2 linked regions of the Arabidopsis thaliana genome follow. The protein of the gene in region 1 interacts with the protein of each later gene in a biochemical or structural test. Each region holds a gene or a part of one and is shown on either strand. Other genes may lie near its edges.

Region 1 (6,730 bases):
AAAAAAGAGGGAAGCAGAAGCAAGAGGTAACAATATTAGAGCAACTTTGCAACAAAGCTATGGTCATCAGGGAGTTATTTACCGTGAGAAGATCAACTCCTTGAGGTGAAAGAGAAGGAACAGCAAGAGTTAAGTCTTGCGGCTCCCACTTAGGGTAAACATGCCAGTCACGCAGTGTGGAAACACCCGGCCATTGCTGCTCAGTTGGTGTTCCTAGCAACCTCCATGAACCAAATAGGAACCATTAGTAAAGATCATAGTCTCTATTCAAGAATGCTAAATCCATTGAATAATTGGTCAAAGAAACCTGGACTATATAGAATCAGTTGTTCTCAATTGGTAAGCTAGCATATCATTCAGTGATGCAATTCACACTGAAACAGGACAAAACCAGAAGAAGTAATGGAAGGTAAATTCAAAATACCTGAAGATATGAAGCAATTGCTGAAACTCAGAATCACCAGGGAAAAGAGCTTGCCTCCGAACCATCTCAGCTATACAAATTCAAAGATTGAAACAGCATAAATACAAAATCACATCGCAGAGAGACGAATTCAAAAACATAAAAGCATAATTGAGACTACTAACCAAAGATACAACCAACAGACCACATGTCAACACCAGTTGAATAATGAGTAGATCCAAGAAGAACTTCAGGAGCTCTATACCAAAGAGTAACAATCTCATGCGTATAAGACTTAAGAGGAACAGTAAAAGCACGACCAAGACCCAAATCAGCAATCTTAAGAAGCTCTTTATCTTTCACCAGAAGAAGATTCTGCGGTTTAAGATCACGGTGAAGCACACCATGACTATGACAATGCGCAACACCTTTACAAAGCTGAAACATCAACTTCTGAATCAAAAAAGGCTCAAGAGGCTTAGGATTAGGTCCTTTCCTATACGAATCGATGAATTTCTTAAGATCAGTATCGAGATACTCGAAAACGAGATAGAGATTGGATTTGGTAGATTGAGATTTGGTTGATGGTTGATGAACATGTTCGACGCAGAGTAATCGAACAACATAGATCGATGTTGATAACATCTGGAGAAGCGAGATCTCACGAAGAGCAGTTGGTGGAATACCTTCTTCGTCCATCTCGAGACGAGTTTTCTTCAGAGCAACAAGCTTACCAGTTCCTTTCTCCATCGCTTTGTAGACTTTCCCGTATGTTCCTTCTCCGACCTTCTCTAGCTTCTCGTACTTCTCCATTTCTGAGAGGTTTCGTAAAATTGAACTGTGTTGGTTTCTGGACTTTTGATTAACCCTATTATTTGATCAGATTAATGAAGATGATGGATTGTGAGAGAGAGAGAGAGAGATGCTTTCGCTAAGATACTTCCACGTCACTTCGTTTTTCCCGCTCCTTTGGATTTTGAATTCGTTCGTGACAACTGCAACAGATTAACCTAAAGTCGTGACCTCTGTGAATGTTTTTGGGGAAAACTAATTGGACTCACTTATTTTGGTCTAATCTGATATCTACTCAGATGATTTGCGTGAGTTGACGAGTTCAAATTCTTCACGAGTTATATCGGGAAGCCACATATCGATATCGAAACACCAATGGTGCGAATTAAAACATATTAATAGAAGATGAAGATTAGAACTTTCTGTTTCATGAAACAGATAACGAATGAAGAAATGTGATTTTGAACTTCAAAATGTACAAAACATTTTTTGAAAGCTACAAATTCCTATTCTCCACCAGCAATTTCTTCTTTTGCATCTTCATCAATTTCATCAACTTCATCTTTCTTGTCACCTACTAGCTCAGACACAATTTCCAGTCCTTTCTTTACTCTCTCTATCTCCTTCTCTTTCTCTTCCAGTTTCTCTTGCAATATTATCACCTGAGATTTATCAAAGTCACATATTTCCAACAAAACCATAATCATTCTTCCGTTTTAAGAAAAATCTTGAGGAATTAAGAGATAAGAGAAAAGGATCAACACCGTTTCATTTGATCTCTCAACATCATTAGTTAATTCCTCCATGTGTTTGTACAGTCCTGCATTCCACAAAAATCCTCAAATCCAAATTGCAAACTCTACAAAAATCTTTGCTATAACTTAATATCAACATATGACTTACCTTCAAATTGACTTCTAAGTTCCGCGTTTTGAGACTTCTGCATTGCAAGCTTTATTGCTAGTTCATGAATCTGCCATTCCACATGAACATAGGCAAGCATCAATTTCTTTACCCTTTTCAGGGAATCATGTTTTACAAAGGTTGAAGAAGACTACTGCTTTACTATATAATTCATATAATTCCAGATTGAAGACTGAGAGTAGAACAAACTATACCTTTCCTTCGGCAGCTTGGTGCCCAATCTCCTCATTTTCCTCTTGCAGGGTTCTGCACTTTGCCATAAGCATCTTTCCATTCTTGCTTTGAGGAGTAAAAGTAACTGCTGCAATGTTGTCCTGGAGTTCCTTGATCTTCTTGTCTTTTTCCTCTACTAGATTCTGCATAATAGAAACATGGAATCAAACTTCATCTACTCTTTACTTAACTGCAACAAATGTACATTAACAAAAAGTTGGGAATGTTCGTCCTCAACTGTATCTACTACGACAGTGTCAGCTATCAGTTATTAAGGAATTATTCTTTCAGGCCATTCATAACGAAAGCGGAATTTTGTTCCGTAGATACAGTTTGGATTATCTAAGGATATATTACGACAAATACATCCTTATGAAAAAGTAGTCTAAGGGTAAATAGAAACGAGTAGGTGCAGACCTTCAGACGTGAAAATTCTTCATGAATTGCTGGATCCAGTAACAACCTCCTCGCCTACAAAGGTAAACAAAGAATAAATAATCTACACTGCTATCTGATCATGACAAGCTGCTAAATGACCATTGCAATTCAAAATTTATAGCCATTTCTTCTATTCAGACTTGTTAATAATTCAGATGCCAGGTAAAGGTTTACAAGAAACATGCGCTTATCATCGTATTCAGACTGAAATCTAAAAGGCAAGGAAAAGGTTTCCCTCTACATGCATCAAGGTCGAGGATGACCGTCATAAAAGGTACACTACGGCATAAAAAGCGGACTATGCCTAGAAAAGTCCAAGTTACTTCAACAGCTAACTTTTTTCACGATTTGTATTGTTGGCACAATTGTATAAATTATTCCAGAATCAAAACATTGGGAGAACTATATACCTGCATTGACGCTGGCTTGAGTTGAGATTTCAAATCGCGAACAGCTGACTAGAAATACAAAATACAAGACTGTGTTTAGCGACATCTATTCTATGTAATGGTCAAGAAAACATGTGATAGCATCAGTCAGGAATCAAAGTGGTAGGCAATGAGTTTCTCGAGAATTACCTTCAATTCTGCCATTTCTTGTTCCCGTTTCGCATATTGTACAATGCATGACGCTTCTTTTCTCTTTGCGATTTCTAACTGAAAAGAGAGAAACAACAACCAAACCTTATTTGAAAATCAAGACCTTCATATTGATATATACACACAAGTTATTACTCAAGTACAAACCTGTTCTTTCAAAGATTTCTCAGAAGATTTTAGGTTTTGAATATAATCAATCAAAAATCTTGGTTCTGGAAAAAAAAAAGTACCAAACAGAATCATATTGAATGCTCAAGAATTAACATCGCATATACAAATGTACAAAACAAAATTGAGAAAGAGAGGTTAACCAGGAGATTTTCCAGCGGGAACAAAGGACTCATTCTGAAACGCTGACTTCCACTTCTGAATCTCTGTTTTTGCTGACTCGAGCTCATTCTAACCAAAACGATATAGTTAGATGCAAAAGCGAAGCAACCATAAACAGCAATGGTATAGAATTCAAACAGATTAGGGATGAACAGTAACAATGCTTACTTGACATGAAGCAAGATCATCTTTACAATTCTTAAGACTGCCAAAGAGAAAAAGCAAAAGAAAGTTAGAATTATACATCAAAGATTTTTCTCATACATGAAGAAAGGATTGGATAATAACCTTCCTCGGAGAGACAAAATCATCCCAGTTCTAACACCAGGCGCTACCGTTGTTGATCCGAAAATATCATCTTCATCGTCTTCAAGATCACCGAAGCTTCTTCTATTACCTGAATGATACAGATGAGAAATTAATGTCCAATCCAACCTTAAACAAAAACCATGAATTAAGAGAAATCCATTAATGTCGGGACCTGAAGCCCTGGTGGCATTAGCAGCGGAATCGTCTCCTCCAAAATCGTCGTCTTGTGATGAAAACTCCATTGTAGCAAGTTTCGTAGAGGTTTCTGCGGCGATTGTCGCTGGTGGAGTGACGAAGTGTGACGAGCAATTGAGAATTTAGGGTTTTAGATTTGGGGGAAGACGAGAACGTGGTCAATCGGTCATGGATCCGTTTTTTTACTAATGGTATAACAGGTGTTCAGGAGACAATCGTAAATAGTAAATTGAAGATTTAACTAGTATTAAAATGGCATATTAATATTATTTAAAATTTTAAAAATATTTATTCAAAATCGTTCGCCATATTATTCTGTTCCAAAATATATCATGTTCTGTAATTTCTTATTCTAATTCGTAATTTGTTTTCTAAAAATAGTAATTTTTAAATTTTAATGGCTATTTATTATGGATAAAAGTTTACAAATTATATTATTTTTTGAAATATTTATATTTTATAATTTATAATTGTTATTAAGTAACATTATAGTACGGAACATTTTTTTTTGTTTTATACAATATTTTCTATTCAAACTGATTTGATATGTTTAATATTGGTGGTGTTAAAAATAATAAATTAAGGATTTAATCTGTATTAAAACAGTGAATTAATGATATATTACTTTTTTATTAATGTTGATTTAAAAACCCGTTTCGTTAAATTCGTCTAGCCAAAAAACCTATTTATTTTATTAATGTTGAACTTATTTATGATATGATTTTAAATCATTGTTTAATTTTAGCTGATGTGAAACGGTGAACCGTGAACCCACACATTTTTCGTCCATTAGATAACATATGTCCATTTTTAAAATTTCGAATCACAATATATGTAGGATAAAAACTTGAGATTTATTTTTAATTTTATATATTGATTTAAAACAGTTAAAAAATTCAAACAAAGATGAAAGAAGATTTATAGTTTTAAATGTTAACCAAATCTTCTAATTATTAATATTGTTTAATCTGGAAATATCCGTTGTAAAAGTTTTTAAAACAGGTCTAGAATCGAGTTTTATTTGAACCGACCCAACTAAGACTCAATGAACAAAATTATTAAAATGGGCGGATACCAAATTGATCTAAATGCATCCCGACAAAAAATTTTGCAAAAATACTATGTAGATTACTTATTTGACTAAAATACAAATAAAATCCCTTTTTTGTTAGCAATTTCATTATTTACTAGGTGAAAAAAAAGAGATTCAACTATATTTCTCTGCTCATTATCTGTCTATGGCTACGTATTTGTGTTTCTCTTCTCATTATCTGACTATGGCTACGTTTATGTGTGATGGTTTCGGGTTTTGTAACAATTGAGTGTCAATGCTTAATGACTTCGTGTGTATTGTATTTGTATCTCTGGACACAATCTATATAACAACTTTAGTCTCTTGTAGCCATAATCATCTAGTTCTTGTGTATGTTGGTTTATGATGTGTTTCTTTTTTAAATCAAGCTTTGTTCTAGTTCTCTGCGCATTGCATATACTGAGATATTTTTAGCTCGTTGATAAAACATATAAACTACAATGTTACTAGAGCCGAAACAAACAACATCAGTCAAATCATATCCCATTTACCAAATTGTCAAATAGACTGTGTAAACTGTAAAGTAACAATAACATACAGCACAAATGAGTCATAGTAGACCTAACGTAGCTGATAGCTAATAGCTATAGCATCTCTCTTACAAACTCAAGTGAATTAGGCACGAAGAAACGACACAACAAGGAGCCAAAGATGACAAAAATGTCAAGCTGTTATATACAGAAATTGCATGGATAAGAAAGACACTAAACAAACCAGCTCTCATGTCAACAACAAACCGGAAGCTCATTTGTTTCTCTTATCAGATATGGAAGTTCATGCTGAGGCAAAACAAACTGGAAACTTGACCTCGACTTTGCATTCAGACGAAGCTCTTTCGAACATTAGGAGATCCAACATGATCTGCAGCTTTTTGTCATCTCCTTTTACCTGACCATGAATTTCCAACAGCTCAAGACTCGGCAATTTCTCCAAGATATGCTTTATTTGCACCATCTCTCCGATATCTCCCTTGAACTGGGTTATCTTTAGAACCTCAATATGGCAGGACGATAAGAAAGAATACACCTCCAAACAATCGCAAACAGTGTTCTCATCCCCATAGTGATTAGTAGTATAATGCAAAGCCTAGAAAAGACAGGAATTTTGAGATTGAAGATTTTGACTCTTTAGTTTGTCCAATATACTTTTGGGGGTCTTAGGTCATACCTGAATGGTGAGAGTCTTTAGATTTGGAGATTTCTCAAGCAGAATTGGTAGAACATTCCAACAGAAATCTACTTCAGTGCTAAGTGATAAATGAAACAGGTTTTCAAACACTGGTACTGCTTCTTCGAAGAAACAAAACACCTGAAACAGAATTAAAAACAACTAAGTCAGTCATTACTTGAGCAAACATTCTAATCACTAGCAAGATTGATATGATCTTAGTATCTCAATGGTTCCTAGATTTAAATTTCCTCATGCTCTACTAGT
Region 2 (5,453 bases), on another chromosome or scaffold:
AAAAGAAAAAAACTAAGATACGCAAAAGGTAACATAATTTAAGTTGTACAATTTGAATTTTTAATTATTTAGAGGAAAAATATGTGTAACTTGGAAATTAATCTAGTAATTAAAAACGGTGGCAATGTTTATATTTGTGCTTTGCTTGAAAGAAATGGGACAAGGGGGCCGAACGTGTATATACGTAATTATGGTATATATGATGACAAAGTCTCACGGTCCATAATTTCAGGTTATACTTTATCATTAAATAATATTTTTCTAACCAATATAATTTTTTAATATATACTTAATTCGTTAAAGTAAAAGTTCATACGTTTTCTCTTATTTATTTTAAAAGCTAAGTTAGTGAAAGTGTGGTCGAGCTTTATTATATCCTTAATTATTTTCTAAATAAATACTATTTCAGGTTATAATCCCTCTTTAATTTTATTGAAAGCTAAGTTAGTGAAAGTGTGCTCAAGCTTTTTTTCATCCTTAATTATATTTTAATAGTACATTTGTTCAGGTGCGGTGTTGTGTGTGTTTCAAACACCCATTGTGACGGAAAAGAATAAAAGCTAACCACTCTTTTTAATTGTTTAATTTAAATTGACAATTTAGCATCTATCTAGCTTATACAACGCCAAAATTAGCTCAATACTTTTGTTTTATTTTTAAAAATATTATGTAGACTTTCATTTATGTTAAAAGTTATTATTCATAAAAGGACTTATGTGATTGGGGAATGTGGGTGAAAAGAAAAAGAAAAGTAAAAAGAATGAAAATGAAAATGGAGAAAAGAAAAAGAAAAAAGAAGCATAAGTGATGATTAAAGAATTGCACGGGAATTTTAAGTGCTTAATTACCCGCACGACTTCTCTCGCGTCTCTCTCTTTTTTCTTCCTTTCTTTTGTTAACTTATGTATCTTGTCTGAAAAAGTTTTTAACTTTAGTCTTTTTTCTTCCTTTGATTTGATATTAAGAACAGTAATTTATACTGTGTTTTGAATTAGAAGTGGTCAATTCAAATTTCATTATGGTTGAGACCATTTGCTTTGGGTCTGATATGTCATTAAGATTGAAGTTTTAGTTTGATTCTTTTGTGCTTTTTATTGGCATTTTGATTGAATAAACAAAACCATTTTAATCAAAATAAAAAAACGGGAATAATATCATAATATAGTACAAACATTCCAACTGAAACACGAGACGGGTCTTTTCTTTTATTTAGATAAAAACGTTGTCCAAGAGTTTTAGAAGAGCAATGACATCACAAAGTTTTGTTGCATAAAGATCCCAGAAGCAATAAACATAAAGGGTTGTTTAATAATCTACCCACAGTTTAGGAGCTGGGGAGATCATTACTGCACGCTCAGTACTTCGATTTCAAAGTCGAGAACAGAGTTTGGCTGGATCCCCCATGCCGGAAATCCACCAGCGCCATATGCGTAATCCGATGAGCACTGCAGAAGCAGATAAGATCGCAAGCCAAAGATGTTAAACATATAACGAAACACCCAAACTATCATGAAAGACAAAAGTGCTTCAACAGAGAGCCATAAAAGCATAGATGGCAAAGAGGAACATGATGAGAGAAGCAGAGTATACATACCCGCAAGCGAGCAACCTCTCCAATTTGCATTCCGATAACGCCTTCATCCCATCCTGTAAGCAAAGTTAAACAATCGAATCATATGATGTTCACTCGCCAAAAAAGAGGCAAATAGGTTCAGAGATATGATATGATTAACCATAAAACAGAGTAAGTAAGTTTATACCTTTGATCACAGCACCTTTACCGATTTGGAACGAGAAAGGTTTTTGTCCCTCGTCCTTTGTACTATAATGATATACCAAAGAACAAAACACAGTTAGGCTCAAGGAAATACCAAATTAAATAAGTCTTTTAAGACGAAACATATTGATTTATAAACTGAGTATGCGTAGATGATAAGAACAAGTAAGTGTAATTATCTTTTTATTGATCCTAGAATCAAAGCTTACAATAAAGAATTATTTACCTCCAGAACTTCTGGGATAGATCACCATCTTTCCCTGCCAAAAAAAACACACACACAAGAGAAATAAGATTCTCAAACAAATTCATTTCAATTCCACACAAGAAACTGGATTATAAGATAAACAAGATTCTTTAATTAAACCTACAAATAGAAAATCTAAACAAGAGATCTATTCGTATGAAGTTTCAGATGAGCAGACAAATAATCTCGCAGAACAGCAAAATTACAGATTAATTATGACCTAAGTGTTACTATCACCACCCAGAATAGAACATAAACCCTAATTAAATCTATTTCACATCATAGAAAACAAACAAATAGCGAGTACGACTACCACAACACATCAAATAGCTCTTCAACAAAGCAGATTTGTATAGATCGATTTAGCCTATCATGGAATTTTCAAAGATATAAATATGCAGAGGAAAGTTACCGAATCCGGTGCAATGGACGGTGACGGTTTGGCCCGGAGCGGGTTTGGGACCGTTGCCGGGTCTGATGACTTGCTTCTCCACACCCATCTCTATATCTTCTCTCTGTCTCTCTCACTGTTTCGCGTTCTTTGCAGCTTCGAATCTCGGAGTAGCTTTTGCCTATATATTTTGTTATTTATCAATTATCATGCTGTTTGATCTAAACCCTATCTGGGCCTAACAATAATCCAAAACCCAATTCGATGAAATTTAGGCCCATTATTTATTCTTTCTCAAAGGTGGATAATATAATACTGTACCAGACCGAATTAAGAAGCAGAATCTAGCCCAAAACTATTTTTTACTTCGGATTCATCAAATTCAAGCCCAGACTTGTAGCTATCAAAATTTCCTTCGCATTTTTGAAAGATACATGGTCAAGAAGACAGAGCAATATAGATACAACGAACCTTCTTCATCACAATTACAGAAAAAATGATTATGTAGATATCATGTTTAGAGCCTAAACGGCTAAACAGTTCCATCATTAATGTCTTAAACAAGCTTTTATGAACAGACAATGGAACCTTCACTGCGCAACTGGAGCGTATAAAAGCCAGATAACGTGCACGAATCACCTCTTGGATAGCTTCTGTATCTTCTAGATTCTGCAGAATACTCATTACAGGTAAGTGAGAATACCTAGCTACTATGACTACACAAAAAAAACTCTACATAGCCGTTTAGGTCTTTACCTTAGACCCCAGCAAGAAATTCTTGACAAAAAGCTTACTTGTTTTCCTTACCTTTCAAAGCATCAAGGATGAATGAAGCAAGCAATGTGTGTTGTCACTTTCCCTCTTCGTTTGTCAGTCCAGAACACAACAAGTTATCTAGTGAATGAACAGAAGCAGCAATTACGACATGGAAACCACCTATGTTTTGCAATTTGCTGCTCTATGGCCTTTTGAGTTGGAGGAACATAATTCTTTTGGAACAAAATGAAACCTGAGCAGGATAAGTAACTCACTTTACTTTAGATAAGGCATTTGGCTAGTAAGGTTTTATAGTCTAATAAACCCGAGAAAGATAATCTTAATGCCTTTACTCAGAACTCAGAAGCAGAAGACTATATACCAGAAAGCGACGAAAGCATCCGAATTTTGAGCAAAATAACATCAACAGATTCCAACTACAGGGATTCCAAGGAATCAAAATGCTAGTATTTCCACTACAGTTAAACATCAACAGGAAACATAAAAGCTAAGGCCTACAACAACGAAACACCCGCAACCTAAACAAAGAGAGGAAAAAGCCTTACTTCACTAAGTAGCCTTGATCTTATCATCTCCAACAACAGAAAGTATGGGCAAACTATTCAAGAATTCATCAAGTCCCTCAAAGAACCCAATCCCTTCCATATTATCTACCTCCCTGTTACTTCCGATCCCATTGCCTGCATTTCCCCCACCTGCCACACCAGGCTCTTCCACTTCATTACTAAACTCCACATTCAAATCCAACCTCCCCAGGTTCTTAGCGCCTGTTCCCATTCGTTTTCTAGTAATATAACTCCCTGGTTTAGACATAACCCCAGTTGAAGACCCAACAGCCGCAGCATTTGAAGCAATTGAAACCGCGTGATTGCTAGCACTACTGATACTTTCTACATTTTGGACTTCTTCAACTCCATGTTTCTTGTTACTTCTCACATATGTTTCTTTCCCTTTCCCAACATTCGTCTTCTTATTCACTTGTACCACATCTTGCCAATCACCATCATCACCAGCGTCATCTCCATCCGAAATCGCAACATAAATGTCATCATCGTCATAGTAAATCCTAGGAGGACCCGGTTCCTTTCTCTTCTTTGGTTCACCATCCAACTTTTGCAGAGGACAGGCAAAGAGAGGTGAAATAGGTGACCAACTTGGAGCTTGAAATTCACCGGAAAACCCCAATGGAAACAAAGCCCATGAGCAAAAGTAAACGTCTTCGTCGTCTTTCTTATCCACCGGAGGTTTTGGTATCGTCACAGCTTGAAACGCTCTTCTACATTCTTGACATTTCAAAGTACATTCTTCGTAAGCCTTAGGGTACTCAAAGAGTACAAAGCAGTAAGGGCAAGCGGTCCAGAAGCTCGTCGCCATAGGATCCGCCGAGGTCCCAGCCTGGCTCTGAGACCGCGGTGGCGGATATACGGCGGTGCTACTGCTAGGTTCCCACTGGAAATTTTGATGCGATTGGGTTTGAGGATGGAATCCAGATTGACCGAGTTGACTAAGTTGCAATTCTCGGTCGTAGAATGATTTCTTGAACGGATCAGAGAGAACGAACCAAGCATCGGAGACGATTTTAAGAGCTCGATCGGCGAATGGGAGACGATTAACGGAAGGATTGAGGAGAAGAGCGAGTCTACGGTACTGAGTCGCGACGTGTTCAGGGTTTTGAGCTAAACGACCGAGTCGGAGAACGGCGTACCAGTCTGGCAAGTTGGAATCACCTAAACGAGTCTCTCCGGCGAGAAGAATGTCGCAGATTGCGAGGATGTAGTCTGCAGCTTCTGCTCGGGTCGGGTCAGCTTCGCATGCGCGGATCGCAAATGTCTTTGCTCCTTGAAGATCACTAGACGCTAGAAGCTTCTCCGATGTTACAAGCCACTGATCCGCCTCCACTCTGTTACCACCACCACCGCCAACTCCGCCGCGTCCGCCTACCATATCCCCTATTTCTTTTTGTTCCCTTTCGTTTTTCCTCTCTCCCCGTTGAATTTATTTATTATTTTATCGGTAAAGAGTAAATACAGATCTAAAAATTAAAAGGACGAAAACATGATGGATCGTCAATGGGCCGGAACAACAACATGATGGATCGTCAATGGCATTTTGGTCCTTTTCATTTTATATAATATGTGCAATGTGATGGATCGTCAATGGGCCGGAACACTTTTTTCTAAATTTTTCACTTACAAAAAATATTAATAAAATAAGATGTAATATTATTCTCTTAGGACAGTTTCTCTAAACAATTGGAAAAG

Evidence for each region. Proteins that work in one complex are often made in the same cells at the same time.
Region 2: the proteins of FIP37 (region 1) and FKBP12 form a complex in vitro, tested with the Arabidopsis thaliana proteins (one study listed by BioGRID).

The regions. Positions count from the first base shown.
Region 1 is NC_003074.8:20,054,368-20,061,097, reverse strand, and holds FIP37 (FKBP12 interacting protein 37), read right to left. Parts: upstream 4,435-6,730; 5' UTR 4,251-4,434; coding exon 4,181-4,250; intron 4,097-4,180; coding exon 3,988-4,096; intron 3,905-3,987; coding exon 3,868-3,904; intron 3,769-3,867; coding exon 3,681-3,768; intron 3,582-3,680; coding exon 3,517-3,581; intron 3,427-3,516; coding exon 3,349-3,426; intron 3,229-3,348; coding exon 3,181-3,228; intron 2,804-3,180; coding exon 2,750-2,803; intron 2,476-2,749; coding exon 2,314-2,475; intron 2,169-2,313; coding exon 2,099-2,168; intron 2,016-2,098; coding exon 1,960-2,015; intron 1,858-1,959; coding exon 1,702-1,857; 3' UTR 1,515-1,701; downstream 1-1,514. Other genes in the region: CDKB1;1 (cyclin-dependent kinase B1;1), read right to left, coding at 83-221, 425-494, 589-1,216; AT3G54160 (RNI-like superfamily protein), read right to left, coding at 6,071-6,382, 6,464-6,604. UniProt on the Arabidopsis thaliana protein: Probable regulatory subunit of the N6-methyltransferase complex, a multiprotein complex that mediates N6-methyladenosine (m6A) methylation at the 5'-[AG]GAC-3' consensus sites of some mRNAs.
Region 2 is NC_003076.8:25,733,467-25,738,919, forward strand, and holds FKBP12 (FK506-binding protein 12), read right to left. Parts: upstream 2,680-5,453; 5' UTR 2,525-2,679; coding exon 2,437-2,524; intron 2,038-2,436; coding exon 2,004-2,037; intron 1,823-2,003; coding exon 1,761-1,822; intron 1,648-1,760; coding exon 1,595-1,647; intron 1,446-1,594; coding exon 1,344-1,445; 3' UTR 1,124-1,343; downstream 1-1,123. Other genes in the region: EIP9 (Chaperone DnaJ-domain superfamily protein), read right to left, coding at 3,742-5,136. UniProt on the Arabidopsis thaliana protein: PPIases accelerate the folding of proteins. It catalyzes the cis-trans isomerization of proline imidic peptide bonds in oligopeptides. Mediates rapamycin inactivation of TOR protein kinase activity.